Linked DNA regions of Bombyx mori. The protein of the gene in region 3 purifies or fractionates together with the protein of the main gene of each other region. This does not show direct contact. Links are inferred from orthologs where the notes say so. Each region holds a gene or a part of one and is shown on either strand. Other genes may lie near its edges. The genes, in order: molybdopterin synthase catalytic subunit, DNA polymerase epsilon subunit 3, ZZ-type zinc finger-containing protein 3 and transcriptional adapter 2A.

Evidence for each region.
Region 1: the proteins of ZZ-type zinc finger-containing protein 3 (region 3) and molybdopterin synthase catalytic subunit purify together in Drosophila melanogaster (affinity purification with mass spectrometry; 4 studies listed by BioGRID, with this or other methods). This does not show direct contact. The link is inferred for Bombyx mori from reciprocal best matches to the Drosophila melanogaster genes Atac1 and Mocs2B.
Region 2: the proteins of ZZ-type zinc finger-containing protein 3 (region 3) and DNA polymerase epsilon subunit 3 purify together in Drosophila melanogaster (affinity purification with mass spectrometry; 3 studies listed by BioGRID). This does not show direct contact. The link is inferred for Bombyx mori from reciprocal best matches to the Drosophila melanogaster genes Atac1 and Chrac-14.
Region 4: the proteins of ZZ-type zinc finger-containing protein 3 (region 3) and transcriptional adapter 2A purify together in Drosophila melanogaster (affinity purification with mass spectrometry; 4 studies listed by BioGRID, with this or other methods). This does not show direct contact. The link is inferred for Bombyx mori from reciprocal best matches to the Drosophila melanogaster genes Atac1 and Ada2a.

Annotation. Positions count from the first base shown.
Region 1 is NC_085131.1:1,993,933-2,002,553, forward strand, and holds the start of molybdopterin synthase catalytic subunit, read right to left. Parts: upstream 5,929-8,621; 5' UTR 5,660-5,928; intron 5,589-5,659; exon of another isoform or gene 5,182-5,588; intron 4,935-5,181; 5' UTR 4,619-4,934; coding exon 4,490-4,618; intron 113-4,489; exon of another isoform or gene 1-112. Other genes in the region: putative leucine-rich repeat-containing protein DDB_G0290503, read left to right, coding at 7,763-8,621. UniProt on the Drosophila melanogaster protein: Catalytic subunit of the molybdopterin synthase complex, a complex that catalyzes the conversion of precursor Z into molybdopterin.
Region 2 is NC_085130.1:7,453,327-7,461,029, forward strand, and holds DNA polymerase epsilon subunit 3, read right to left. Parts: upstream 4,112-7,703; 5' UTR 3,987-4,111; coding exon 3,627-3,986; 3' UTR 3,098-3,626; downstream 1-3,097. UniProt on the Drosophila melanogaster protein: Accessory component of the DNA polymerase epsilon complex. Participates in DNA repair and in chromosomal DNA replication. Histone-like protein which promotes nucleosome sliding of ATP-dependent nucleosome remodeling complexes.
Region 3 is NC_085121.1:4,878,359-4,885,918, reverse strand, and holds ZZ-type zinc finger-containing protein 3, read right to left. Parts: upstream 4,392-7,560; coding exon 3,411-4,391; 3' UTR 3,390-3,410; downstream 1-3,389.
Region 4 is NC_085111.1:1,074,655-1,082,376, reverse strand, and holds transcriptional adapter 2A, read right to left. Parts: upstream 4,986-7,722; 5' UTR 4,978-4,985; coding exon 3,679-4,977; 3' UTR 3,669-3,678; downstream 1-3,668. Other genes in the region: cysteine-rich protein 2-binding protein, read left to right, coding at 208-398, 954-1,072, 2,093-2,274, 2,996-3,076, 4,986-5,078; DnaJ-5 (dnaJ (Hsp40) homolog 5), read left to right, coding at 7,477-7,722. UniProt on the Drosophila melanogaster protein: Component of the histone acetyltransferase (HAT) complex ATAC; predominantly involved in acetylation of histone H4, including at Lys-6 (H4K5ac) and Lys-13 (H4K12ac).

The DNA.
Region 1 (8,621 bases), on a different chromosome or scaffold from region 3:
GCGTAGTTTTAAAGATTTAAGCATACATAGGGATATAGGGACAGAGAAAGCGACTTAGTTTTATACTAGGTAGTGATGATAATACCTAGTCAGGTCATAAATTCTGTCACATGTTTAATGTAAAATAATTGAAACAAGTTTATTCATTATGTAACCATTCATATACCAAAATGAACTTAACAAAACATAGATTCTTATGACACTAAAGTTTATTCAAAATGACCTCCGTAATTTTGAATACAGGCCTTCAATCTGCGCGGCCAGTCGTCTATCGCAGCACGAACGAGGTCCATGTCAATATCGGCGGCTGCCTTAATCAAGGATGTCTTGAGTGACTCCAAATTGGGATGAGGCTTTGAGCACGCCTTTTCCTCCAAGTGTTGCCATGTCTTGTAATCTAACGGATTCAAATCTGGACTGGAGGAGGGCCAGTCTTCGTGCCGGATGAAGTCGATTTCACGCGCCGCCAGCCAGTCTTGTGTGCTCTTCGCTCTATGAGCTGGCGCCGAATCTTGTTGGAATACCCAGTGCCTGTTATTGGACATGGTATGAGAAACAGGTTCCACAAGGTTCGTCAGGACTGTATTTTGATACACAACTGCATTCGTTTTTACACCTTTCTCACAAAAATGTACCTCTGTTAAGCCCCAATAAGAAACTCCCAACCATACCATTGAGCGAGGATGGAAAATGACCTCGTTGGACACGCGGAATACGGTTGCTCGCTTCTTCACTACTGTGTGCGTGCACCTTATCATTTTGTTTGTTGTAGCTCTCTTCTACGGTAAAAATTTTTTCATCCGAAAAAAGAATTTCCCGATATTTTTTTCCCGCGTACCGCTTCAACAAAGCGCGGCATCTCTTCAGTCTCAGGTCCATTAGACGAGCATTCAAACGATGTCCTGTTTTTCTTCGATATGCCCGAAGCCCTAAGTCTTCATGTAATACCATTTTTACCGTGGTTCTGCTTAACCCCATCTCAAGGGCCAACAGTTTCTGCCTACGTTTGGGATTTCTTTGAATTCGCGCCTTCACAGCTTTTATCACTGCTTGAGTACTAACAGACCAAGGGCGACCACTTCTTGACCTGTCATCTACACTAGAGTCTTCATTGTATCGTTTGATGGTATGATAAACGAATCTTTTGGTTATATTCAAATTTTTCAGTATGTTAAAAATTTGAATTGGCGCGTAACCGCAACGATGCAACGCAATAACTGCAACACGGTCTTCTTTAAGCGTCCACTCCATATTTAAAAATGAGTAAAATTCTAAAAGTATACATTTTTATTTTCATGAACAATTCGAAATTCGAATTCAATAAACTTTTTTGTGGCCAGCATTCTAAAAGAAAAGTTTTTACTGTGTGACAATACTTATGACCTGACTAGTTATATGCTAGTAACGTTTTTTTATGAAAACTGAGTAAATTTTACATGAAACATTTAATAGAAACACGAAAAAGGTTCTAATACGTTTGTCGATTTACGTAATTAATTGTGGCATGGTGATCCTTGGGTCCGTGGTCTGCTCCCAACATCTGCAGACCGTCAACTCCCGCATACCCCACGTGCCCCCTAAGCGCTGATACCTCGTAGGTTTGCCCCCCTGCTCGAAAAAAATGGCGTTTTGCGAGCCCGTGCGGGTAGGTACCAATACCTCACATAGATCCGCCGCGGAGAAGTTGTCATGCATTCCGAAAGTTGGTAGACCCGTTAAACAACACATTCGATCTTATCGTGTTTTCTTCGGTTTTGCGATTTATATACATAATTAAAAGTAATCGCACGTGTTTTATTTTCATTACTGTCACGAAATAAAAATAAAAAAAGTAGCTTTAATTAATTCGATCTCATGTCTTTAGAAGGCGGTGGTACAAATCTCTTGAAGAATCTAGAATAACCCCTCGACGTTACTAGAATAGGTAGAAAAAAAATATGGAATTTACTTATCACCAGGTCGTGCCGTGAAGACATTTAGGTATTAAGTGAAATAATTAAAACAATAATCGTTTTCACGTAAAATTCATTTTCAAGGTAAATTATTTGTTTCTTTTACTTCCTCGTTACGTTAAATTTGCATTGGAATGAACAAATATTGATTTGTCAATTCAACTGTTATTTATAATTGCAAATATACAGCAGCTGTTATAGAAGTCGATAAAATTCGTTTTTTTATAATACGCTTTTATTAGCTCGACATTCGTATTTTGCGATGTGAATTTGTCGGTGTTCTTATCCGATAGTTATGGTTTTTTTTATTGCTTAGATGGATAGACGAGCCCACAGCCCACCCGGTGTCAAGTGATTACTGGAGCCCATAGACATCTACAACGTAAATGCGTCACCCACCTTGAGACATGAAGTTGTATAGTCTCAGTATAGTTACAACGGCTGCCCCACCCTTCAAACCGAAACGCATTACTGCTTCACGGCAGAAACAGGCAGGGCGGTGGTACCTACCCGTGCGGACTTTACAGGTCCTACCACCAGTAATCACTTATTTCTATTATTTTTTTTCCAATAGGATCGTTGGTACCCCCTCAAGCTGTTATTTTGACTACGCGCGGTTTGGTAGATGAGCTCCCTCAACCTGAGAGAATTACTAACCCTGGCCCCAACATGATCAGTGCTTTGCTGAATCTACCATCGGATCGGAATCGCGAGCCACTGAGACGTAGTGAGAAGATCCGGCGATAAACTCAGTGGATAGGTTGTACGTGGAACTCTGTCGTATTTGACGTGTTCGACGAGAGCGGTAACCAGTGCCTGGAATGCCTAAAAGCCCGGAGAGTCGATCGAGAGGATTCGATAGTATTTTTTATTTATTGCTTAGATGGATGGACGAGCTCACAGCCCACCTGCTGTTAAGTGATTACTGGAGCCCATAGACATCTACAACGTAAATGCGCCACCCACCTTGAGATATCAGTTCTAAGGTCTCTGTATAGTTCCAACGACTACCCCACCCTTCAAACCGAAACGCATTACTGCTTCACGGCAGAAATAAGCAGGGTGGTGGTACCTACCCGCGCGGACTCTCAAGAGGTCCTACCACATGTTAAAACTTTTATTGTACACGTTACGTTTTTATTACACGATGTTATTCCTTCACCGTGGAAGTCAATCGTGAACATTTGTTGAGTACGTATTTCATTAGAAAAATTGGTACCCGCCTGCGGGGTTCGAACACCGGTGCAATCGCTATATACGAATGCACCGGACGTCTTATCCTTTAGGCCACGACGACTTCAATAAATGTCGTCGGATGTTCTTTAGACGACGGTACCTTTGATTTGCCTCGTGGCCTGGGTCGGATATGTAATTTTAGGCGGTCACGATAAGGTTTATTTCTAATGAAATACGTACTTAGTACACGTTCACGAATGACTTCCACATCGTGTAATAAAAATCCGATATAATAGTAACGTGCGTAATTACTAAACAATTGAGATGTAGATGTATGTATATGGACTCCAGTAACCACTGAACAACAGGTGGGCCGTGAGCTCGTTACGAAAATATATTTTTTTTATCTCGAAACTAGGAAGAAACAACCTTCTAGTTCAAAGTGGCCCGCAGCATACCGTATGAACAGACTTAACTTGAAAACAAAGGTATAAAAATGAGTTTAAATTTTTGAAATATAATCATTGCTAACATCGGTATGACTAAACAATCTCTTGTTATTTACTGCATTTACATGAATATTTTTTACTTCACCACATTTATCTGACTTGGTTGTTGTTTACAAAAAGTGTTCAAAGAGGTCAAACTATAATATAAAATAAATCATTTCTTATCTATGGAACGTAAACAACTATATCTGTGTTGGAAATTGTAAATTTAGAAGATGCAAATAGACAAAGAGTTATGGCCATATTTTCTTTATTTATATCTTCAGCTACGCACGGACGGGTTGGTAAGCTCATGGGGTTCATCCTGAGAGAATTTGCTAACAATAGTCCTAGTAAGAGAAATCCAATCCAGCGAGAAATTAAGTTGGTTATGTATTTGGGCTAGGTTGCTCTTCAAACTCTTTTTGTCTAAGCCTCAGTTTTTTCATTGCAACAATTTCCCCACCCTTTAAACGGAAACTCATTACGGCTTCGCGGAAAATATAGGCAGGATGGTGGTACTTACCCGCGTGGGCTCAGATATGATGCCCTATCACCAATAATTACACAAAAATTATAATTATTGCGGGTTCAATTTTTATAACAAGTAATGTTATTCCTTTATTATAGAAATAATTTGTGAACATTTGTTAACCTATTTCATTAAGAAAATTGCGTCGCTTGATGTGAATGCACCGGGTGCCATATCCTGTAGATCACGAAGAATTTGCTGCCTATAGTGACATGAAATATCACTTAACACTAAAATGGTTAAAAGCCATTACCGTTTTGAACAACGGGCTTCACATACAGAATCTTAACAAAATACCTATTTTCCTAATGACTAGAAAATTTTAAATAATACAAGTTTACCTTTTTTCCTTCAAAATTGTCTCTAGTTGTGCCAATAAACAATGAAATTGCACCGCAGCTATCATCAGTTACAAGTTCACTTATTTCTTCGACTGACAGTCTATCTACTGTTAATTTTATATGGTCCATCCTGTGAAATACTATTTAACCTCCACTCAATGGTGGTATAACAGCTAAGTTGTCTTGTTCATTAATTTCTATATCTACTGTATCCTCACACACTACCTCGTTCTTAGCCAAAAGTATATTTTTCTTAATACTGTTTAAGTTATATTTATCGCATATAATATTCAACAATCTCTGATATCCCAACTTTCTTGGTAAAGTTATGGAAGTTTCTCTAACTCCCGACAATTCTTTTGATTTAGCAAAAAACAATAGCTTCACTGTTACAGTATCTTCTATATTTTCTATTTCCATAATTTACCATAGTCAATCTACCAGCCTGCAATAAAAAGATGTGTTATTATAAACCTGTTTGTAAAAAAAAGTTGCTTAAGTAAAAATAAATAAAAAACATTACAACAAAATAATCAATATAGCTACTGTCAATACTGCTTCTAAATCTGTGTAAATAGTAAACAATAATGATTAAAATACATACATGTAATTTGAATTGAAAAAAAAAACTAGAAAGTACAAAATGGTGCTGCAAAATCTAAAGAAAAATATTTAAAAAATTAAATTCTTACTTTATTTCGAATTGATCCATAAAAGACTAAATATGTTGTACTTGTTGTAGGATAATAAAAAGGTTTTTAATTTCCGTTATACACTTTCCATGTACATCAAAAGTATTTTAAAAAATTATATATCTACTGACTGCATCACCGCGGCGTTTCATTTACTTACTGACTGATTCACTCGACTTACCTACATGAATGTCGTGGATATAGTTTTTATTTTATGGGCGACTGCTTTAAACATGTTGCTGATCATTGGACCGTGTCGGAATTTCACGATCTAATTACATACACCTACTTTCATACAATAGATACCTATACTTTACACAGTATAATATTATTAGATATTTTCAAGTACGTCGTTGGTACAAATGTCATTACAGCGATCATTTAATTTAAACTGTGTGATTTTTATAACTAGGAGGTTATACCGTAACCTTGAAAATCGTAACATTTTATTTATTAAAGTAATTTTAAATATACTTACTGTATCTTCTGTCTTAAATGGTAGTAATGTAAGGGTTTTTTTTCCTCAAACTTAGATTAGAAATTTCACTTCTTTAAAATTCTTACTAACTATTAGGTGTTATAATTAAGTTAAAATTCAAATTTTAAAACTCAAAAGCAAAACAAGAGACAGCTGTTATAGTTTATGAATTAATAACTTTTTGTTTGATCCCAAAAAACAGGCAAAGGAATAGTATTTCATAGGCTTTGTTTCAAAAAGTAAATTCTTTTATCTATCTATCTCTTAGGTTTATGGCGTTTCCTTTTAGATTTCGCCAATGTCAAGTGTATATAATACTCTGCTTTCTATAGCGGGCTTCGTGAATTAAATTAAAGTAAATTCTTTTGCACGAGAAGCGTAAAGGTGTCATTACCAAGCCATACTATTACCTTTTTTAAGGTATAAAAAAGGTAATAGTTTAAAGTTTGAATGATATCAGTTTTCGTAATAGGCCAACCAGCCAAGTCCAGTGATTTTGCTCCATTTCCATCTCCTAGAATCTAGGACCTAGATAGTTGAAAAGACCATATTAGTTTAGTATATTAGTTGCAGAAATACCTAATTGGAAAAATATTACAATGGCATATCCAATTTCATTCTTGTGTTCTAGTCATAGTAGATTTACACTTTTCTTTCTTGAATCTTATCCATACAACGGTTGAATGAAAGAGATCGCTTTAGAAGACAGGACCACACCTTGTAATTAAATTTTTATAGCATATCTACTTCGCTCCCATTGTACTAAGAAAAATTACCCGTGATAAGGTGCATGCGAAAATTTAACATGAAAATTAAGAGTCAATAACAAAACTCAATTTTACATTTATAGTATTTTAAAAATATAGATATTCTTTTAGGATCTCTTTTTAGGGGTTCAAAAAAACCCTCTTTCCAAGCGAGAGTTGTTGATAAAATACTTAAAATTTAAACTTAAATTATAAATATGTCTGTTATTAACTACTATCTCTCCATCATATTAAATCATGTTTATGTTGTATTTTCATGTCTCAGGCCTATTTATAAAATATCTTATAATCCAATTAATAATCATCATATGTTCAATAGTAGTGATCCGTCTTTGCACGGGATGAATAATGATATTGTGAATTATGTAATAATGAATAAATATAATCATATAATGTATAAACTAATTATTGCTGAAAGTACATCATAATACAAGTAAAAGAAAGTACATTATTGTTTACAGTAATGGCCATAGGTAATATATTGTAATTACATCACGTGTATTATTTTTACTAAGCTTTATGTAAAAGCTTCAATATTGACAGTTCTCTTTCAAATGAGAGAAATTACACTTTCAACCCCTACTTTTTAACTCTCAAAGAAAATATTCCTAGAAGTGAAATTTTGAAAAACAGCAACAAAAGTTTACGCATAAACGATAATATGTTTATTTTTTAACAAGTAGCGGAAATACGACATTTCGTATTTTAAAATGACAGTGTCGAAATGTTGTAGCGATGGCTCTATAGGTTGACACTCTCTTATTATACATTAAGGTTAATCCTATGAGTTTAGATTTGAATTCTTTCGGTGATCATGTCTCCTGCCGTTTGACATTCTTTTTCTTCCACTTGACCATAGATAATGCTTAAACACCTTCGCAACTCGATTTAATTTTACGTCACTATCGATACTAACTGCACTACCATAATCTGACAATTGACAGTTCAAATTGAAAAAGTTACCGAATTCAAACGGTTTTCAATCCGGTATGTTTGTGTGCTGCTTCTATGTATACTGATCGTTATTTTTTGGCAAGATTCCCTCTGGGTGCGCTTCTTATATAAAATGGACTACGTACAACGTACAACACAAAAAGGATAAAAATAGAATACGAATGCGAGTTTCAGTTCAGTGCTCGGACATTTTTGTTTTCTAATGACATACTTACCGAACCGTTTATTTTACGAAATAGAAATCAGTGAAATTATTTGAAAAATATTTGATGTTAGTGTTGGATTGAATATTTACTTGTGTCTTCAGATCGTGACGTGTCGAGCAGAGCAGAGTCTTAAAAACGCTACAATCAACCGTTGTGTGTTTAGTGATATATAAAAAATGGCAAATCGCGATGAACCGATGGATATAGACAGCTTAGAGAGTGATTTTGATAATAAAGAGAATACATATCACAATAATGTGTTACCATGTACAGAGAAAGGATATGAGGAGTTGGATGTGTCAGAACTCAACATGAAATTGAGGTATTCTATAACCCCAGCCGCATCACCTATGTCGAGGAGCTTTACTAACTATACTAGCAATAGAAGCCTTGATAATGATGATTCACTAAATTATTCCAGCAATGAAAATAATTTGACTCGATCTTTAAATTCTAATATATCAAAGAATGAAAATGTGGTAAAATCTCTTAAAACATTGCCTCTCCAGTCACTTCCCACTGACCAAGTAGATCGAATAACAATTTTACAACAGTTGGATAGTGTTGAGTTGACGGGTGATACTCATGATATCACTGTAACTGTTAGTAAAACAAACGATGATGAAAACATATCACTAGCAAGTTCATCATCTTCAGCATTACACAGTCCTGATGCAACAACACCAACAAAAGAACCCGAAAAAAATGAAAATGAATCTCCAATAATGAGAGGTCTCAAGAGCGTACTTAATATTTTTCGTTCTTCACAAAGCCCTATACCCCCTGGAGATAATGATGTGGGATCAAATCAAATTTCACCTAGACTAGAAGAATGTTCAACACCTAAAACTGAAGAGACAACTGACAAGACAGCCTCTGCGTCCACTCCTATCGTAGCTCATAGAAATAAAGATTTAAATATATCCAACAGGAACAGTCCATACAAAGAAAGTGTCACATTTAATGAAGACCTTGAAAAAGAATTACTATGGAAAGACGAAACAACAATATTGTTCAGTCAAGAAAAGATTCCCG
Region 2 (7,703 bases), on a different chromosome or scaffold from region 3:
ATTGAGATGTACTCTACGTACTGTATGCATCGATATATTACCACTCGATGACTGTAGGCTAAACCTTTGCAAGCCGTTAAATATGAATTTGCACATAACGTATGACACTGCTTTGGAACGTCTATGAGGCTTTTTTATTTTTTTGCGAGTGATAAAGAGTGCGACTTGCATTTTTTTGACGTCCTAGTAAAATTTTACGGGTCCTTAATCGGTTGCCTTCATTGGTCGCGTTACTTGTATAGATCTCAGAATATTCGTTCAAGAAGTACCTATCCTTTAATAAAGTATTGGATTACAGTTTTAGACCTTGGAAAAGAAATTACTATACAGTTCTGCTAATAATTTTCTATGTTATTACTGTCTACTAGATATTTTCTAAATTTTTGTCTTATTCTGCTTAGCAAATTTATTACTATAACTACTGTTAGAGTCTGATTTAAAGTCATGCTTCATTTCTTAGAACTTGTACTTTTAAATTATATCGTAACCCTTAAATACGCTTGGTTATTGTTATTTTAACAAATTTCAAAACTTTGATTTTGATTGCTTTTGAATCTGTTACTTTAATATCTGTCTATAACGCAACAGTATACATAATCATCTATTTTCCACATTAAACGAAATCAATTGATTTATTTGCGAATACCAGAGTTGTTATTACCATTTTCCAACAAGAATTAGTCTGCAGATAGGCGGCAGTTACAAGACTGCAAACCAAATTTATTACCTCGGATGGTAGGTAATAAGTTACATTAGCCATTAATAGCTGATCAAACGTAAATACCGCCACTCATCTTTGGACCAAGCGGATACCCTACGTCGAGGGAACCTGTAAAACATTATCTACTCTATTATCTGCGTGTTCACACCTACTATCAATAATAATGTGCCCATCTCAACCACTAAGGACATCTGGCACTATAAGAAAAAGAAGATAAACATTTTTTAAGACAGAGAATAAATTAAAATAATTTAATACCGACGCATTTAAGGGTTAAAATCGATTTAAATTTTACTAAACTAGTTTTGTTGCTAAATTTTTCTTAAAGTTTTTCATCTCAATATATTATGAATAGTTTTTAAGTCTTCGATAATTAAAAAAAAATGATGATAATAAATTCAAGAGGAAAAATATATGTATTTAGTTTATATTAATATAAAATTAGAATATATTTTCGTTATAATTGAGAGTTATCAAATTGTAAATATATAGGTAGAGGTAGACACAAACCTGGCCGTGAGGTTTGAGAACACAATTTGTTTCCAGATATATTTTATTCCATAATAAAAAAAGGTAACAAAATTACTTTGTTTCTTATTTGTTATTTTTTCGGTAAATTAGGTACAACTACTTTTAAGACGTAGGTTATTTCTTTTATTAAATTTTTTATTATATTTTATTTTAACGCATCGACTTGTGGGATTCTTCATTTCGGAAAGGTTTTTTAAGCGGACAATACAAGTAATAAGTGAAGTAGTATCCGCAGATTCAGATAAACTTAACTATAAGATATATGGAATTATCATAAGATGAAGATATCAGGTTTTTTCTAGTATTTACTATATGATTGAATACATTTATTGCTCCTCCTTGGATGAGTGCCGTTAATGGGTTAACTGATGAGACACCAGCCTTGAAACGTGAACCTGAAGTTTCAATTGTGTTGTTAGTCAATAGTAATGGATTCGACTTTCATGACGACCTGGACCTAGTCCATCAGTACTTAAGTGTTTGCAGTCAGCGTCAATGCCCCATCTCGATAAAGCGGCACGACACGAGAACCCTCTCATTGTGGCCGCCGGTAACTACATAGCCGATCCTGCAGACCGAACAGTAAACAGTCGACGTCGCCGCCCAAAACCGTCATCTCAGATCCTCCCGATCCACTAACGGAGCTTTTAGGTACCCCAAGCACCGGTCATCGTTCTCGTCGAACCCGTCGCTTACGACGAAGGGCTTGGCGAGTAAATTAACCCACAGACACAGCCCACCGAGTTTCTCGCCTGATCTTCGTGGGTTGCGTTTCCGATCCGGTGGTAGATTCTGCGAAGCACGGCTTTTGCTAGGGTTCATGCTAGCAACATCAGGTTTGAGCCCCGTGAGCTCACCTACACACTAGGGTAGAGCTGATATAGCCTCTCAAAGCTGTCATCAAAGGTAGGGGGGAAAAAAAAACATGCAAATTAATGGATTAATGTTCTTTGTGGAGCATGAATCCTTTGCTGGAAAACAGACAGAATTGTCTATTATGCCGTATCAGAATTAAATAACTACAATGTTATATTGCTTCTTCTTCTTGCCCTTATCCCATATTATCTGGAGTCACTGCCGACTCTTATTTTACATATTCACTCCCTACATTCACATCTCTAATCTTGTCCAACATATCCTATTTTACTCAGTCCATCGAAGTTATTTAAAACACTGTCACTATCACACCTAGATTATTTTTGGTCAAATGATTATCGTCATTCACATAACATGCCCATACCATAATTCTTCCATTTTTTACTTTGTCAGTGGAACTACTTTGAGACTTCCTATAAACACTTATTTTGAATCTTATCCTATGATGTTATATTGTATTTGAGTCGTCTATTATCAAAGGTGGCAATCTGTGCATTTGGACAAAAAAATGTTATTGATATGTCAATACAGATTGATTTGAATATAATCGTCTCCTTCAAAGAATACGGTTCAAAACCTGCATTAAATAAAGGTTAATACTTAACCTGTTATTTATCTAAGATGTCGTTCAGAAGAGTTTTGTGACTGCCAACAGAATACAAAGTCAATAATTCGTTTTTCTGATTTACCAATAATTGTCCAAAAGTCACATTGCCGGCTTTGATAATAGTCGACTCATTTGATTCATATTTCGTATCATTTAATTCAAATTGGTTGTCATGTCCCACTCTTGACAAAAGCCAAAACAAACTACCAAGTTTCGAGAACTACCACCATAGATAAGCAGGGCATTGAATATTGTATGATATATTGAATGAAAATAATTGGAGGTTTTCACACAAACATAACCATTATTTTAATTTCTCTTGAGACTATTCTAGAATACTGAAAAATAATAGAAAAGCCAGATTCTAACAAAATTTTCTTATAATTACAAGTTTTAAAAGGATGTGTGACCAGATCTAGTAATAATTGTAACATTTACATAACATACATACATACATAACCTAACATTAAGTAATTTTTATGGCAGTAAAAATTAAGTTTAGAAAAATATCAGTAATAAATCAAATAAAATACTTTTAATTTTAGCAAATTGCAAAAACAAATTTTGAGAAGTTCTAAGTTTTAATTGTAGTTAATTTACTGATGTAAAAGTAAGTGGACACAATTCATTTTGGGATGCTTTTGAAGTTTACTTGTTTTTAATAAAAGTTTATTTAATTTTAAAACACTTCATACATTATTACCAACTGATTAATTATTGCGAGGTAACTGTTGTAAATGTTCATGGGAAACTTGTTTCATTTAAACATTTATCACTTTTGTAACACAGGCATGGGTTCTTTGAACTTATTTCATATAGTTTTTCAGCACAGTTTCTGAATATACACCACTAAGCGCCACTATACATTTTAAACTCAAGTCGCAGTAGTATTCAATCGTCTTCTATAATCTCAGCGTCTTCTTGTTCATCTTTTTTCTTCATAGAAGCGGATTTTCGTGCCGAAGCCATGGTCTTGTAATGTTCCAGAGCTTCTCCTAAAGGTTCCACAAATCTATCAAATTCGATGTCTTTCATAGCATCTATCACGTCCTGCCCAGTGAGAGCCTTCCTTTTTTTGTTCTTAACAATATTTGTAGCTGCTGAAGTCACATAAAGTACAAAAACTGAAGCCGCCTTAGCGAGGCCAGTTCGCGCCTCTTTTGATATCGATACGCCACTGGGAAGAGCTTCTTTTACGATTCTAGTTACAACTGTGAGTGGTAAATTCAAATCTTCGAGTTTTTCAGCCATTTTTGTTTATAACGTTCCTATTTATAAAATCTGGAATTAAATGAAAACATTAATTTAACCGCCAGAAGCACTAATGACATTTCTTGACATTGATTGGAGCATACAGTCACAGTTATAGATTATACACAGTTACGAATGTTACGATAGTACTCTCTATGTGTATTATCTATGGATACAAGGGTTAGTAACTGCCGCCTGTCGCCGTGCTACAAAAAGTCTCAAAAATAGGTACTCGGAATACAATGCCTTTTTTTCAAAGTTTTCATAGGTATCGTGGCTTAAACTATATTATTATGCTGTATGAGATACCCGGTGAAGTTACATAAAACGATGGGACAATACCAGCAGTTAGATCCTGCAGTGTAGTAGCCTACCGAATTCACAATTAGTATTTAGCGTTATCACGTGTTTATTTGTTGTTTATTCAACGTTTCTATTATTCTTCAAAATTAAAACCTCAAATCTTATTCACGTTACATGCTATAAAAACATTGCGATCTGTTTTCCAAAAATATTACAAAAATATAGGATTGCGTGATAATTTTAATTCACTGGTGGCAAGAAAGCACGCATTGATGATGACGCATAATGTCCATTTAACGAATGCAGACCAGAAGAGGGCTTGTAGTGCAGCAAAGATCAAGACAATATGAGATAAACTTAAACTGTATGCTTTGGTGGGAAATCGACTTTATCGTCTAATTAACTCAAAATATTTAGCAGTCACCATTATCCAAAATAATTCACGGTCAAAAAATAAATTACTCAAAAGTATGTAAAAGTTTATTTTCGCTATTATTTTTTGGTTAAATTATTATAATCTGATAATCTGTTATTTTAATCAGCCATTTAATTCGCTTGAAACCTTGTTGATTGTTGATAAAAATAAAAAGCAATGGTTCGAACACTCGTGTTGTTTGTAGAATTATTTGATTTGCACGATGTCGATATAATGAGAAACGAACGAAATTACTTGCTCATTTCTGCCACAAAGCATTATTGCATTCCGGTTTGAAGGGAGGAACAGCAATAAAAATTTCATCTTTAAAAAATAACATGGCCTTCAGTTCACAAAAGCTTCGCGTTCGTTATCATGTTACCCGTAAACAGCTGATTTACGAGTGACCAGTGTGCTTAAAAACATTATTTAGAAAATATAATAAAATATATCAGTAGGCTTACCATAGATTTACTAGGCATACATTGACTACCATGAAAGCGTATATTAGCGTATCAAAGGACACGTTGTCCGTGTTAGTTCGTTTTTAAAACATAATAGGTATCTACTTTTTAGATAGAAATTGACAACTGAATCAACTAAACAGGTCAATGACCTAGTTTTACAGAAATCGATGAAAAATTAAAAATGAATGACGTGAATACATATAAAAGGGAAGGTCAATTGTTGAATTTACTAAGTACGTAATAAAATTGAAATAAAATTTATAAATACATTTTTATTGAGTTAGGTACGCTTGGAGGTATTGCGCAAACTCGTGGTGCAATGTTGATGCCAGTGTTGTTTTGACAATAGTGATGTCCAAATGAACAAAAACGCGATAGCGTGTTATATTCTCTATTTTTTTAAGCTATTATGTTTTTTGTTACTAATAAGTTTTATAGAGATTCGGTGACTGTTAATTTGAAACTTTATGCTAAACAGATAGCTTTTTCATTTCCTAGTACCTGTGTCTCAAAAAATGTGAAAAAGGTTTTTACAACAATTCTACGACATGTGCACTGATTTTGTCTAACTTTGTTTTTCGGTCAATACCGCTATGCACATAATATACTGCGATACTGTGTTACTATTCCAAGCGTCTTAATGTAGTCTTATTAATAAAATATAACGCGTTATTTTATAACGCTAAGCGTCCCTATCCTGACACTATTCAAGTTATATTATTATGATAAGTTAGTGCGGCACCGATTTTGTTCGTTGTTAGACGTATTCTGTCTGCATTCTCATCGATTTCTAGCACAGAGTACTTAATACTTTTCTGAGTTTATGGTGTTATTGTAATGTTTTATTCAAAAAACATACCTAAATAACATTATTACAGTGGTTTCTTCGTCGACACGATCTCGTTGGTTTTAGAGTTTTTCGATATTAATTCTCATGTTATCCGAATGCGGTGTTGTTGTGGTTTTTCGATTTGGAATCGTAATGCGGTAAGGATATTTTATTAAGAGTATTAATATTTTATAATAATTGTATAACGTATGTTTGCAATTTGACGATCGTAAATAACGTGCTATGAAATAAATTACGTGAATTAGAAAAAAATACACGTTTTTTTTTTTTTTTTGTTATCTAATTCAACATCGAGCATATAGCCCAACTGATTAAAAGTGTTCATCGCTGCCTGTGAACATCGGTAATATTACCTTCGGGTTGCTCAGTTGCTTAAAATACTTAGGATTGTTTCAAGGATGGTAAGGTCCGGGGTAATTCTAGAATATTAGATAATTCAAGAGTTTCGAAGTACACTGTAGGAAAGATTTGATTGAAATTTGATTGTCACGACCTGTCGGATGCATAGTTCAGAGGGAGTACAGAACCTGGTGGAATACTGGGATTTATTATTATGGGGGATCGATGACAATGTTGATGCGGCGTCACATCCCTTTTAGAATACTTCTGAATTCAGTTGAGACCGACCTTTCTATTTATTTATTTTTTATTGCCTAGATTGATACCCGAGGCCACAGCTCACCTGGTGTTAAGTGGTTACCGGAGCCCATAGACATCTACAACGTAAATGCCGCCACCCACCTTGAGATATAAGTTCTAAGGTCTCAGTGTAATTACAAAGGCAGCCCGACCCTTCAAACCGAAACGCATTACTGCTTCACGGCAGAAATAGGCGGGGTGGTGGTACCTACCCGTGCGGACTCAAAAGAGGTTCTAAAACCTCACGGCTGACCTGATAAGTGTTTACGCGATCCTTTAACGTCGCTACTTGTTTTAACACGGATGGCCATTGTCACGATTACCTACGTCCATCACTTCCAATCTTAAGCCGGAGTGGAAGACTGCTTCGTGACAGGAATGGCCTTAATAGTCTCCTCATGTAGCCTTTAAAGACGGCATGTCATTATTACATCGCAAGACCGCTTCGTCAGAAAATTTCATAGCATTATCGAATCAATCATATAAATATTATAAAGCTGAAGAGTCGAGTATATCGAGAATAGGCTATATAACATCACGCTAAGACCAATACAAGCGGAGCACCAATAAAGAATGTTTCAAAATCGGGGTTTTTTCCCTTTTGAGAGCTTCCGCTGCGTGTGCTGCAGAAACGGTTAAAGTTTCGCTAAAATAATGTATGACATAATTGTTCCCCTTTAAAAGATATAAAAAAAGTCCGCGACAGCATATGTCTATATGTTAAGGTTGGCTCACTATAACGTTTTTTATGCTAACCAAATTTGTTCTAAAATAAACCATTATTTGTGAACTATTCCACGCGGACGAAGTCGCAGGCAAAAGCTAGTCAATCATATTTTAGCTTACAAAAATACGTATGCTGATTTATTTAAGTCACTCACGGAAATGTCAAGGCAGATGGATTTTGAATGAGCAATTGAATTGTTCAAACAACATCCAAAGGGAAAGAATATTTTATTTGTTACTTACTCGTATCCAATGGCAACCACGTCGAAATAGAGGGTAGGGTATGGATAGAAATGAATGTCAATTACAGTATAATT
Region 3 (7,560 bases):
TTCTTATGTTCTATACAATTCACTGAGGGTTTTTTGTGCCCTCGAACGTTTATCTTCCTAGTTTACAAATAAGTTGAGCAAACAATAAAATCTCCTTGGGGTAATCTTTGGTAAATTTGTTATTTTTTTAACTATATCTTTATCAGCATACGATGTTAAAGGGTTTTACTTTCATTTTAAGCATTTTAACCGTATATTTCAAAACTTGAATTATAAGAGTATCAATGTTCCCAATTCTTAAAATAATTGTAGTAAATATTTTTTTGCGCTATATCTCTCCCATATTATAATCTATATGTGACATTTACAATACTAAAATATTTTATCGAAATTGATTTACAATATCAATATTTATAAATTGACAATTTAAAAAAGTTATTTTTTTATTTATTGCCATAAATGGGTGAACGGGCTCATAGCCTACCTTGCCTTAAGTGGTTGCCGGAGTACGTGAAGTGTTAGTCTCAACTGTATATTAAAACTGCTTTCCACTGAGGCCGCCTCATACAGGGACTACGATAGACCAATCATAACTCAGCCTGTATTTAAAACTAGCTGACCCGGCAGACTTCGTAGTGCCTCAATCGATAAATAAAAGACCTAAATTTTGGATAAAATAAACTTAAAACAAACAAAAGGAATCCGTCCGACGGGGGACACATCAAAGGAAAAACAAAATTGTTATTTTTAATTAATTTCGAGTATTTTCATATTTATCTACCTTTTAAACCTTCTCTAGACTTCCACAAATAATTCAAATCGGTCCAGCCGTTCTCGAGTTTTAGCGAGACTAACGAACAGCAATTCATTTTTATACATATAGATAGATAGATTAGGTGTCAAACATTCCACATCATCATCATCATCATCAGCCTGCGGCAGTCCACTGCTGGACATAGGCCTCCCCCAAAGCTCGCCACTGAACCCGATCTTCGGTTCTACGCATCCAGTTACTGCCAGCTGCCTTGCGCAGGTCGTCGCTCCATCTAGCAGGAGGGCGTCCTACACTACGTTTGCCGGTTCGCGGTCTCCACTCCAGAACACGTCTACTCCAACGGTTATCGGTTCTGCGACATATGTGACCAGCCCACTGCCACTTCAGCTTACTAACTCTGCGAGCTATATCGATCACTTTGGTCTTTGCCCGAATGACCTCATTGCGTATTCGGTCTCGCAATGACAAACCGAGCATAGCTCGCTCCATAGCTCGCTGAGTAACTTTTAATTGGTGGACTAGTCGCACAGTCAGTTTCCACGTTTCGGCTCCGTAGGTAAGCAACATTCCACAGTACCAGCATATTACAAAAATGTAGGTATCCAAACTTCAAAAAAGGGTACGAGTAAACAAGATCTTTTGTAACGATCTGTATTGCCTTGTTCTTAATTAACAGGCCTGCGATCGCTGCCCCATTGCGCTCCACCGCGTCCAATCATCGTAATCTGAGAGACGGATGAACCACGGAACAAATAGATCTATCAATATAAACAACTGCGGATATAATTTCAACGCTCAGAATAAAAACATTATCGCACCTCTATGTAAACAATGCTTACTGTATTTATGGTACGTAAATATGTACATATAGCAAGTTCATAGGAAATACGTAATATATCATTTTAATTAATAAATCTACCGAGGATACGTCCAAGCATGAATAGGTCTAACCACTTAGTCTCCAGTGTGAAGATAGTACAAAAGAATAGTTTGGTCATTTGTCATGGTTCTTTCATCTTCATAGTAAAATACAAAGCAAATTTTTGTTCGTGAATTTATGTTTTCAGGTGTGAATAAATGATGTATATATTTCAAGTGTGTCGAATCTTAGAACCGTATCTCCCATTAAATTTTGTTTTCTTTATTTAATGAATATATAATATTATTAATGAATAATAATGGATAATAAATAATGTAAAAAAAAAAAAAAGTAATATTTAGGTAGGTAAAATAATGCGTTCTTGTTATTTTCAGTGTATCAAAACAAAAGTGGACATTGGTGAGTTTATGTAGCTTAATGTAGAAAGCTGCTATTCACACCACGCTTATCTACATACCGATTTAGCGGGAAATAATCGCTGCAGACATACCTATATTCCTACACAAACGTTACAAAAAACTGTAAACTGAACTGTAGGAGAAAAAGGATTTTCTATACAAAACTTGAGCTAAAATTATAATTGCAATTTGCATTGCACTTTCAACTAGTTTGTTTTCGAGACTGCCGGCTTACACAATTGCTCGCTTTGAATTATAATAAGTAATGATATACTTCCCATAAAATTATAACAAATCCTATAAATCAACATAGAAACGCGCTAATGTAGGTTATTAATAGTATAATATCCGGCAATTAGTGATATACGGATACAATCCCTTTTTTTAACTCCTAAAATATTTGTCCTCAAATACCTTTTCCCTTTCTACACAATCCCTGTTTTTGCATATTGCAGGGCGTATTATACTTATAAGTATTACATAAATAATATGGGTACGATTGTTTTGGAATCGTACAAGTTTTGCAATACTTTAGGGACTTGTTTCACCTAACCAGGGTGCGGCGGATATCACTTCAATATGTATCTCACTATTTTTGGACTGCAATAACACTAGGCTACCGTGAGCTTAATCCAAAATTAAAAAGAAGCACGCGATGTTAAAATAATTTTAGTTGGTGAAGTTCTGCACGTTTTATTAACACATCAATCAAAATGAGGTGCACTTTGCTGATCTCTAAGAATAAGAATGAAGTTGTAGGTCAAATCATAGGGCGTGTTGAATGAGGGTGTGATATATTGTGTTAATTATTTATGTGTAGAACACAAAACTCCCGCCAAGCAGTAGATAATGTAGTGTGTATAGAGGGTAGATAGAAGCGGGTGCGAGGCGTGCTCAGTGTTCCAGTCCAGTGGATGTTCATCACTCGCCGCGGACGCCCCAGTATTGCGTTATCACCAGAACCAGTCGGTAATTGACAGTATAGCCTAAGTTATTGAAATACGTATCCAGTTGTTTTTAAATATTCGTTTAAATTCTTGAAAATAGTAAAAATTCAGAATGTGTGGTGTTACTAAATTTGCGTCTTTTAAGCTCTTTCGGGTATCTAGTTTTAAAAACTAAATAATGGTTGAAGTGCAGTAATGTTGCAATAAATAAAAGCCGAAGAGTAATTATTAAAATTAATTGAAAAATTTCAAATCTCAATGAGTTTCATAAAAAAAAATCAGATTAGCACAACATATTGTGACCATATTTTAGTATTGTGATCCACATTACAGTGATTTGAAATGTTTCAAATCGATAAGATACTTAGAAGTTGATTAAAATTTACTTCTATGTTTTTCAAGATACTTAAAAACTATCTTTGTTGGTGACAATTTGAAAAAAACAAAAATAAGCTGAGCATTTTATTGCATCAAGTTAAATGTCTCACTGGAATAAGTCTTTCAGCAGGTAATAATCTCACCACGCAGTCTGTGCAATAGTCAGTACCCGAATTGTCTGTCCACCTTGCTCCTAAAAAACCCATTTTTTGACAACCAACACACATGGTCTTAGTTTGATAAACTGGTGTGGTTTCATCTAAAACTCTCTGTTCTTTAGCTAATTTCAATAGTTCCAACATGTATTTACCATCATTTTTAGTTTCTAAAGAGGACATATTGTCGTGTCCTTCCCCACTGTCACAAGAGTCCTCCATATTTACAGGAACATGCAATTGAGGAAAAAATGTAGATTTCTTATAAAATATAGACTTGTTTTTATCTCGTCCAACACCTTTGGGTGCTCTGCCTGGAATGGGCAGACCTGCTTTCGCTAACTTAGCGAAATACTTTTGAATCCTGCTCATAACTTGTATTGGGGTCCTTGTGCCAAGGGCTTGTGCTATTTTTTTATACCTTCTCGCTTCAATAGGCTCTTCAGGATAAATTTCTAACAATTCCTCTAATCTTTTTTGCTCTTCACATGACCATAACTGATTGAACGTCTCTGGTTTATTGTCTGTGAACTTCCGCCCTCTAACTTTGAAACTAGAATCTAATTCTTCCTTACATTGTTTTGACTCACTAGCACCTATTGTGTCTGTAACATCTATTCCATACTCATTCCAGTTTATATTGGGCAAATCAGAGATAGTTTGATGAGCAGGAAATTGAATGTTTCCGGATCTGAGATCATCAATAAACGTCAAAGGGTCATCCAAGGCTTTATTCTGAGATTCAGCTAAAGTTTCTATGTCTTTTAGAGCTTGTGTCTTTTGTGCTTCTAATTTAACTATGTATTTGAGTAACTTGCAGTAGTCTTTGTTTCCTCTTAAGGCTAAATGGTCTGATTCAAATGCAAATTCATCTTCTGACTTCTCACTTTCATTTTCATATTCATCACAGCTGTCCATGACCTTTAAATTGATAAAAATATGAATAATAGTTTCGGAATGAAAATAGCGAAAAATCCTAAAAACTTGAGTGTAAAAATAAAAAATAAAATAAACAGTGTTCATAACAAAAAATGTAAGCATGAATTCAGAAGCTCTTCAGTTGAAGGCTGGTCGGACCGGTGAGTTCAGTCTATTTCTTTTATTTATAACAGGTAAAAAATATTTAATACCAACCTATTCACTAGGGCTTTAACAGTTTGCTATAAAGTAGACGTTAAAATAAATAAACATTACATTCTTTATGTACGCAGAACTTCTTCGAAAGGCTACTTGGTTACTGACATAGATTATACACTTAATATGTTACTGACAGTTTCATAGATTAAACACATAAACGTCAAAGAATCTATATCTGAAAAAAATGAAAGTGAGATTCTAAACCAATGAGATTTTTACATCGAACTAAGAATTTATTTCCAACAATTGTTCCTATTTAAGGAAAATGAGTGTACACGATAAATTTATATTTTTTTATGATCAAGTGAAACGCAAGAATAACAAGTAAAACAAAGCGCCATCTAGGTGTTTATGCACACAACAAAACCAGTAGTTTGTTTCTAAAATTTTAACACAGATGGCAATGCTCGTGCTTCCCACAAGTTTCAGTAAAAGTCAAACAGATGACTAACATTCAATGCTATTTGTTGTTAATAAACAATGGTAATTTCGTGCCATTTATAGTGTTTTATTAAGACTGTGTGAAAGCTGATCAAAATATCTCAATTTTTTTATAAATCATCATGTCTATGTGTTTTTATTGGCAGTGGCGCTATATTAGCATAAATATAGTGACCATTATTTTTGTAAAATAAAAACAGGATAACGAGCAATAAAAAAAAACAACAACCTAGCATATAATATATGAAGGCGTTTTTTATTTTATTACATTGGTAGGTGACCGAGCACACGGCCTACCTGATGTTGAGTGGTTGCCGGAGGCCACAGACATCTACAACGTAAATGCCACCACTAAGGTAAGTGGAGACAGATTTCTAAGGTCTCCGTTTTTACAGTAGAACGGCTGCCCCACCCTTCAAATCGAAACGCATTACTGTTTCACGGCAGAAATAGGCAGGGTGGTGGTACCTACCCTACCCGTGCGAACTCACAAAGCGTCCACCAGTAATTACGCAAATTATAATTTTGCGGGTTTGTTTTTTTATTTATTTTTTATTTTTTAGATGGGTGGACGAGCTCACGGCCCACCTGATGCTAAGTGGTACCGGAGCCAATAGACATCTACAACGTAAATGCCACCAACCACCTTGAGACATGAGTTCTAAGGTCTCAATTCAGTACAACGGCTGCCCACCCTTCAAACCGAAACGCATTAGTGCTTCACGGCAGAAATAGGCGGGTTGATGGTACCTACCGGTACGGACGTCGGATTACGTACGGATGTACTAGACGTCGTTCTACCGTTGATTTTTGTTACACGATGTTATTCCTTCACCGTGAAAGTCAATCGTTAACATTTGTTGAGCAGTTCATTAGAAAAATTGGTACCCGCCTGGGATTCGAACATCGGTGCATTGCTCAACACGAATGCACCGGACGTCTTATCCTTTCGTTTGTTACTCTTCACCTTCTAATCATTTATATAAATATTTGTACAATCAATTGGTGTGTGTGAAATTGGACATAGTTATTTTTTTATTTTTTTTATTGCTTAGATGGATGGACGAGCTCACAGCCCACCTGGTGTTAAGTGGTTACTGGAGCCCATAGACATCTACAACGTAAATGCGCCACCCACCTCGAGATATAAGTTCTAAAATCTCAGTAATTCCGGTAACGGACCCAAAGCCCTTATCACCTGAACCAAGACTCACGCAGAAGACCCCATACTATAATTATTCATTCAAAATTTTAATTTCAATATTATTTAACTTTCATTGAAAACCTGTGCAAACTAGTACAAACAAGTAAAAACCAGGACATTTATGCTCAACAAAAAAGAAGGACATCGTCTAAAAAGCAGTACTGTCCTACCAAAAACAGTACGAATGGTCACTGTATGCATGTACAGCGCATATTGATTGTGTGCACATTGGCGCATTTCAAATTATATTTACTATTCTGCTTCTGGGTCCTCGTGTCCCCTCCCGGGGGCACGGTTTGGGCCTCGGGGAAATCCCCTCTGCCCGGACTTGAAGTCCCTGCCTTCTCCGCAATGGTGAGAATTCTGCTGGTAAAATGATGAGATGTGATGATGTGGTGATGTTGATGTAGTTTGTTAAATGATGTCATGATGACAATGGAGATGGTGATGATGGTATGAAAGTGCGCAAAGATTGTTAGTCTAATTGTAAGTCTTGCCTTGCCTTGCGAGTTAGAGAGTGTTTCCGTCCCCCCACCTGCACGTGCTTACGAACAATTACTGCAACAAAAGAATAACATCGTGTAATAAAAACGAAACTGTTGAATTTGTTAAGTTCAGGGCGTATTGTGAGCCCGGAGTGATAGCAACCACAATCTTTTTTGTTTGGTCAGGCTTAAATGATAGGACAGCCATTATAGCTGTACAATTGAGAGTTTGGCCTTATTATCTCTCAAGATGAATCATTATATTCAAGTTTTGATGTCTATCTGCTTCGGTGACTATCTATCTAAGCGTGACAAGCCGTGAACTTGTTAACACATCCACGAAAAAATCACATTAATATGCTGCTTTTTTAGCGACTTAGCAAATCCTTCTTCTTCTTCTTCGTCGCTTTCTTCATTGCTGAAGGTCGTGTCCCTGAAACTTGACCGTTGCCTTTCTTAGCAAATCCTCACGATACCTTATAATTGTTAAGATCCATTAAACCGTTTAAGCTAGAGTACGTGCGGTAAAAAAACTGGCACAATCTGGCAAGATTTATTGTTGCAAGAATGTTATGATTCAATGTTTCTTTACAGAGTCTAGAGAATAAACAATTCATACAGCAAACGCTTACTAAATCATCAATTAACATGTTTAGCATGTATTGTTGCTGGCTAATTGATTTAGAGTTAGAATCTGTACAGAGCTCTCCCGGGCAATTATATACCAGCCTATAATCAGGTTAGAGCGGGCCACGCCGGGACCGCAAATTTAAAGCTTTTAGACTCAGCAGCTGCGGTAATTATTGAATTAATTCGGAGA
Region 4 (7,722 bases), on a different chromosome or scaffold from region 3:
CTGCTTCACGGCAGAAATAGGCAGGGTGGTGGTACCTACCCGTGCGGACTCACAACAGGTCCTACCACCAGTAAGAATACCTTTTTGGGGCACCCTGTATATATTTTTTTAGGAAATTCTCTGTTGTATGTAGTAGTCATAGCTAAAGTTGAAACCGGCGGACGATTGCTTCTAAATGATCTATTAAAAATTTTACTCTTTGTTTAGTTCCTTATGGATAACCTCTGCGGTACTATAGCAAGTACAACCCACGGAACCCTCCTGCTGTCGCGCATGGAAGCCCTGCCCTTCAGGTCTCCGTACTCCGGAGTCACCCTCAAGCCTTACATAAGACGGGACACCGAAACCTGCACCACCTGGATGAAGCTAATGGACGAGCTGCTGAGGAAAACTCACAGGTGATTGATTAGTTTCAATCTTAGACCTAATTGTTTCGAAATCAAATTAATTGGGATTTAAATTTTGATTTTTATATCTAATAGAGCAGTCGCCATATTGTAAATACTTAATAATATCTTATTGTCTTATTATTGAAAATTTTCAGCAGTAGTTTTAAATGAAATAGAGACGTCAACGTCCTACGACGAGGTGACCGATAATGTCCACTTACCATCTCATGAGCCGTGTTTCCGATCACTATTGTTAGTCTTTGAGTTTAGAGAGCATGAGAAATAATTTTATATAAAGAAAACGTTCAGTCACAAGTCAAATCTTGTGTTGACTTGGTGAGTCACTTCCATGTATGTGATGTAGGGATATGACAAAGGCAGGATCTTCCACGGCCCGAATCTCATTGTTCGAAACTTGTACACATATATTGCAAACGTCTCTTGAAAACGACATTTTGTATTTTATGTTGGCTACCGCCACATGTGACGCAAGCAGCTAATGGTAAAGCTAAGTTACTCAACCCTACCGAAGTTGTAACGTTATTAAAGTTAATTTATTTCCAGGCACATAAAAGACTACGAGCCACCCGCACGCATGTCCATTGACTACTCCTACGTCCGTCCGCAGCACATCGCTGCAGTCAATAATTTATGTGCCCAATTCTTCTGGCCCGGGATAGACTGTAAGTGTAATAAAATACCAAAACATTTCGACTGGATCTATTATGTCACAACGATCTGTATTCTCACAGCTTGGTAACCTATTCACAGTGAGGATATCTATACTAATAAGAAAACTATTAAAGAACATCTGTGCAATAAAGCTTACTATAAAGTCAATGATAATCTAGAAGATTGCACAAAGTGGGAATGAGTTGCTCGCTCCGGGCATTTCAATATTGTAAAATTGTTATGTTATAATTCCTTTTTGTAAAAATGAATATTTAAAAAAATCTAATATTCAAAAATAATAATCTAATATTTAAAAAAACAAAAAAAAAAAGACATGCCCGCTGAGTTTCTTGCCAATTCTTCTCAGGACGGAGGCTAATTCTCGTGAATTGGCGGTAGTTTTGACGTTCAACAAGTATGCACTTTCATTTATGTTGAATAAAACTTTTTTGATTTGATTTGATTTGATAATATATAAATCTACAGTGGTTTTTACGGATGTTCCGTTATAACTACTGAACCATGCATCCGATTGACTTGAAACTTGGTATCCATGTAGAAAATACATGTACTTAATGGATAGGCTAATATTTATATGAGTGTTGGACTCCCTACACCAGTTGCGGGGGCGTCAATGATGAGAATGTTTGTGGGGGTGAGAAATAATGATGTTAATTTTAAATGCCCAGCGAAGCGGATGGGTACAGCTAGTTGGTTTACATCAGGCTAACAATTGTGAACACTCGTATACATAAACATACAAGGTTCAAAAACTAAAAACATCGCGGTACCGTGTCTGATCACGCTTTTTATAGACATCTGCAACGTAAATGCCGCAACCTACCTTGAGATATAAGTTCTAAGGTCTCAATATAGTTAGAACCCCCGCCCTTCCAACCGAAACGCATTACTGCTTAACGGCAGCTATAAGCAGGGTAGTGGTAACTACCCGCGCGGACTCACAAGAGTTCCTACCACAAGTAATAAGGGAAATTATAATTTTGCTTAGATATGTTTGTGATGTCCGCCAGTAACTGAGGCCCTGCAGTACCCAGAGTTCAGCTGCGTAGTGACGTACGGACGCCTGGTCGTGGGCTGTGCCTTCCTGGTGCCGGACGCGGGACATTCCACCGCGTACATCTCCTTCGTGCTCACCAGGCCGGAGTGGGGCAGGGCCGGCATAGCTACATTCATGCTGTACCATCTACTTCAGGTATACTCGCCCATGAGGAACAGTAAGGCGGACATTTATTGCGATATTTCAGGAAGATGGATCTGGTTACCACATAATCCAGTCTCCGTAGTGGAGAAACTTTCTTTAAAAAAGAAAGTTGTATCTCCAGTGAAGAACATACGAAGTAAGAACATATCGCCAGATCTTAATACGTTGACTGCCATGTAGGTCACCGGTGCCCTACGTGGCGCACTCAAGTAATTATGTCGATTTCTCTCTTTTCTATCTTCTTACTAAGGCGCTGAAACATCTCGTAGTCGCTGGGAAAGAATTCGAAGATACTGAGAATGAATATATTTCTGGAGACCTAAAATACTAAAACATATTATATTAAACACAAAAGAAGGCAAAATTAAGCAATCCCAGCGCTTAGTAATAGAGATCGACATAATTACCTCAGTGCGCCGCGTAGGGCATCAGTGCCCTACATGGCGGTCAACGTATTAATATAATATTAATTCAATCAGTAAAACGGATCATGATATGGGTTGCATGGCAACGGACACAAAACTGTTCATTTTTTTTAAATAAAGAAGGTTCACCCTGCATTGAATACTGGTGACTTCAGGTCAAAGTTAGGTTATATATAATCTTACTCTATGGGTCAAAGTATCAACTGCATTGTATGTTTACCTTAAATTATTTGCTAATATAAGGTTCAGGCTTAAGTGTTGTAGACAATTACCTTTTTTACTTACAGACTTGCACGGGCCAAGATATCACACTGCATGTGTCACCAACAAATCCAGCTATATTTTTATATCAAAAATTTGGCTTCAAAGTGAGTATCATGAAAACCCTATTTCTCTGGTATTATGGTACAATGTATTATCAGCATATTATGATACATTATGAATATCACTCAATGTATTGTAATTATTATGTAAACTTATCTGGAGTTTTACAAAACTGCTTCACGCCAGAAACATGCTGATGCATAGATTAGTCTACTATTTCAAAGCTACTAAAATTTTGACCTCATACCTCATATTACCAATGTATCTATGTATCTAACTATTTTCATCGCATTTTACACTACCACATTATTTGTTGATAATGAATCCAAAAGTAACATTTTGTGCACAAAGAACAGACAAACAGACAACGTGAACTATGAATATTTCATTTCTGCAGTTGGGCTTCTGAGCTCACACCCAACTCACCTATCCCAAAGTATTGTAATGTCACTGCTCTCACACTGTTCAAGTTATATTGAAAGTATGAATACTTTAAGACTAAAATAGGCACATTAGTGGTAGAAATACACACAGGCTAACAATACTTTGTTGCATAATAATTTTCGATTGATAAATAGTTGACAAGTGTGTGTATCTGCAATTCAGCATAGCATATGTGGTGTTAAATGATACCAATTTGTCATAGTCACAATGGTTTACTTATAAAACCTTCATATAACAAATAATCATAAATTTTCCTAGTCTTATTTACATCTATTTTAACAATTTTCCTTGCATCTAAAAGTCGTAGGAATCCAAGCTTACTGTTCTGAGCTATAAGATGCTCTTTTATTTCCAAGTAGTTTGTTGGTACAAGCCTCAAATTAGAACATAGTACTTGTTCAGCCTCACTCAGCCTGTGGAAACCTGGCAAGTCAATTATTTCTAAGGGCATTGCCATACGCTTGTAACGCAGCACTTGGTGGTTTTTTGTGTACATAGTCTTCACTGGTGATTGATTTTCAAATTTCTTGGCCATAACACATGTAGCATACTTTTGTTCTTTCATGATTATGTCATTTTCTTTTTTAAGTTGCTTATAAAGTTTGGCAGTATAAAGAGTTTTTATACCATTCTTACGGTATTCACATAAATGTCCAATTCTCTGTAACAGCTCGTTCTCTAAGCTCATGGATTCCATGAAAGCGTCAAACTGTATTCCTGTCATGAACTGCATGAAGCAAAGCAATCGTTCTGCTTTCTGTCGTGTTATAGTGAGGTCAAACTTTTGGATCCATGAGAAAAGCTTATTTGGCATTACTAAGCCATGATTCTGTATAATTTTATACCTTCTATGTCTTTCTCTTAATCTTGTATTAAGAGCATTCACTAAAGACACCTTTAAAGAATCCATCATGTCCATTTCATCCTCATCCTCATCATCATCTTCAGAGTAACTGTCTTCAATATTAAATATGCTTTCAGCATTGTGATCATAACTGAATTCAAATTCAGATCTATATGTATTGTAACCAGCTAAATGTTGATCTGAACTGTTATTTCTAGGCGGATTAGTGCTTACATCTGTATTGTACAAGTATGGAGTAATTGGCATTGGAAAAAGTGACTGTTGTGTTTCCTTTAGTAATCTCAATTCTTTATACTGCACATTCTCTATGTAATATTTCCTATAATGCTCTTGACATTCGAGTTTAGAACGTGTGTGCACATTCTTAGATATTTCTTCCCAATTTCCGAATCCGTATGTAGAAAGTGCTGATAACAATTTGCACTCTTCTTTAGCAGACCAATTGCAATTACCGAATAATGGAAAATCATTTCTTCTTATCGCGTATTTGTGGTCATTTTTATGCATTTCTGTTTCCTTGCCGGATGAAAAACAAGGAGTGCAAACATTGCTTTCGCACTCGCAACATTCGATAAAAGGCTCGTGTGCGACTTCTGAACACAAATCGCAGTTCGTTTGTAGTATATCTCTGGACATTATTTCAGGTTGAAGAACTTATACAAGACTTTTATGAGAAGTACTACGACATCGAATACAAGGGATGCCGGCACGCGCTCTTTCTTCGACTTGTCAGATAAATAAAGTAGTACTTTAAAAACCTTTATTTTATTTACAAACAAAACCTAATAGTCTAACTATCACTTACCTATTGAACAAACTTCAAAAATTCAAAAACAAAAGAACTAAACACCTACATTTCGATAGAACTTCACGCACAGATCAGTTGTTTATTGGTTTACAATAGAAGATAGTGATTTTTTTCTATTTAGTAAAACCGGTTAAACTATGTAATGTTAGGGATTACTATTTCAGCAAACGTTTAGAAAATACAATATTTAAGTAAGTACGGTTCCTACATAATAGTAGTAGTTTTATTTTTTCAACTGAAAAGTCAATGGTATCATACCATACAGCCTAATCTTTTATAATTCATTTTATATGAAAAATGATAATATGAAGTGTAATTAAATGAAGTTGATTAATGAAACATGGCATGAAATGAAATGAGGTTGGATAATATGGGATAAAATATAATCTCAGTAAAATGGTGGTCATTTACTAAGACTTTTTCAATTGACTTTTTGGAAGATCCCGAGAAGTTACGTCCAGTGCCTTTGTTTCATTTTCCCACATTTGTGCACTTTCACAGATACTAAACAGTTAATAAGCCACGTTATTACACATTTAAATCTAACAAACAAATCACACAACTTCACTCCTCGCGGTTCCGCCAAAAAGATCTTACCTTTTTTGTTCTTGCCCTGTCATACATACATAACTTTATTCAAAATAACTACATATCTCGGTGAGTAGGGATGGTGATCAGGGATTGATTTCTGTTTAAATCGATCTTTTTATCATTATAATAGCCAATCCATCTAGGACATTAGCAAATCAAAATGCATTTGCAAACAGGTTATCATCATATCATGTGTGAAAATCCATTATTATTGGAAAATGAAATAAAGTTGCTGAACGTGACGTCTCGGGTTCTTCCAAAAAATCTATTGAAACAACGCAAATTGATGACAATATCAGTTAATAAACAAATTCATTTCAATCCGATCCATTCCATTTGACATCAAAGCATCGATATTAAAAAAGTATTTTAAAGTCGGTGCTGGTGACATTACACGGAAAATAAAAAAAAAGCGAATATCGAAAAAATATATTTATGGGCAGTCGATTTTCTCTTTTTCGAGAAGAAGGATCATTCCTACTTTTTCATATATCTGTACTTATGTCTTTGTCAACGTTTACTATGTATCACTGCTAAATATCTGTTACGACTTCATACTTAACTCTTAGGTGTGTACTTATAGGTAAGGAGAACTATCTTAAAATGAGAGACAAGTTGAAGAAGCATCCGGCTGTAAGCAGCAAATTGCAATTCAGAAAACTCATTAAAACAGGGCTAGTGTAGCAAATGGATGATGTAGAAATTGTAAGGGAGTGAAGTATGCTTAGTTGAAAAACTTTCTGGGCTATCTTTAAAATTACACCACTGCCTACGATGGCGCTACCCTAATTGGTCGCCTTTCGACGATCACTTTTTCATACACAGAAAACCATTTCTCGAAAAGTATGGACGGTAAAGGCAAACAGCGGGTGATGCTTACAGCTGGTTCTGCTTACCTCTAACCTCCATACTTTACCAGCAACGAATAAAACACAGTGTTTTAGTTTACTTAGGAAAACTGGGTAACTAAATCCAAAATGTATCATTTGATTAACCCGCTATGATAGATGATGTTCTTCTTTGATAAGCTTCCTTAATTTTTGAATTTGTTAACAGTAGATCTAATAAAAAAAACAATCTAAAAGATATAATAAACACTAGTATCGCTTTAAAATAAATAATCCCCTTTTCAGAATAATCATTAAATAGATAATATTTTGAAAACATGAACAATTAAATATTGCATTTTTTATTTATTAAGTCGTAACAGAGAACATGGTAAAATAAAAAAGAAACAACGAGAACATACTGACATTTATAATCGGGTCGAGATTCGAGAAAATGACGTGCCCATTAGCCGATGAACATAGAAATTTATATTTGTCTCTTTTTAACATTAGCTAGTTCATATTGCTTTCTTTTTATTGCATCTCGCTCACGTCACGGGTGAAGGTCCTAGAATGTTCTAGATGTTTTGATGTATATATTTTGGTTCGACGAGAGCGCCGCGTTTCATTCAATTGTGATATTGCTGAAGTGAAGTGTTGAGTTTTGCGTTGTGATTATTTGCTAAAATTTCGTAAATTGTGCTTAAATTATCAAGGATTAAAGTTTCTCTAATACAAGTAAGTGTTCTGAAAATGCTATGTTGATTTTTTTCATTTAAAAACCGTGGTTTTGTTATAAAATGTGGTCTATCAAATTTATGAAACGAAAATGATCGACGAAATCGTGCTTCCAAAAAAGGTGTCAAACGTCGAGACTGATCTTTTTTTTTTGTTTCAGTACAAATCAAAATGGGCAAAGACTACTATAAAATATTGGGAATAACAAAAGGTGCTTCGGACGATGACATCAAGAAAGCCTACAGAAAATTGGCATTAAAGTACCACCCGGACAAGAACAAGGCTGCGGGCGCAGAGGAAAGGTTTAAAGAAGTGGCAGAAGCTTATGAGGTTTTATCGGACAAGAAGAAAAGAGAAATTTATGATGCGCACGGCGAAGAAGGCCTAAAGGGTGGTATGGGCGGGCAGAATGGTCCT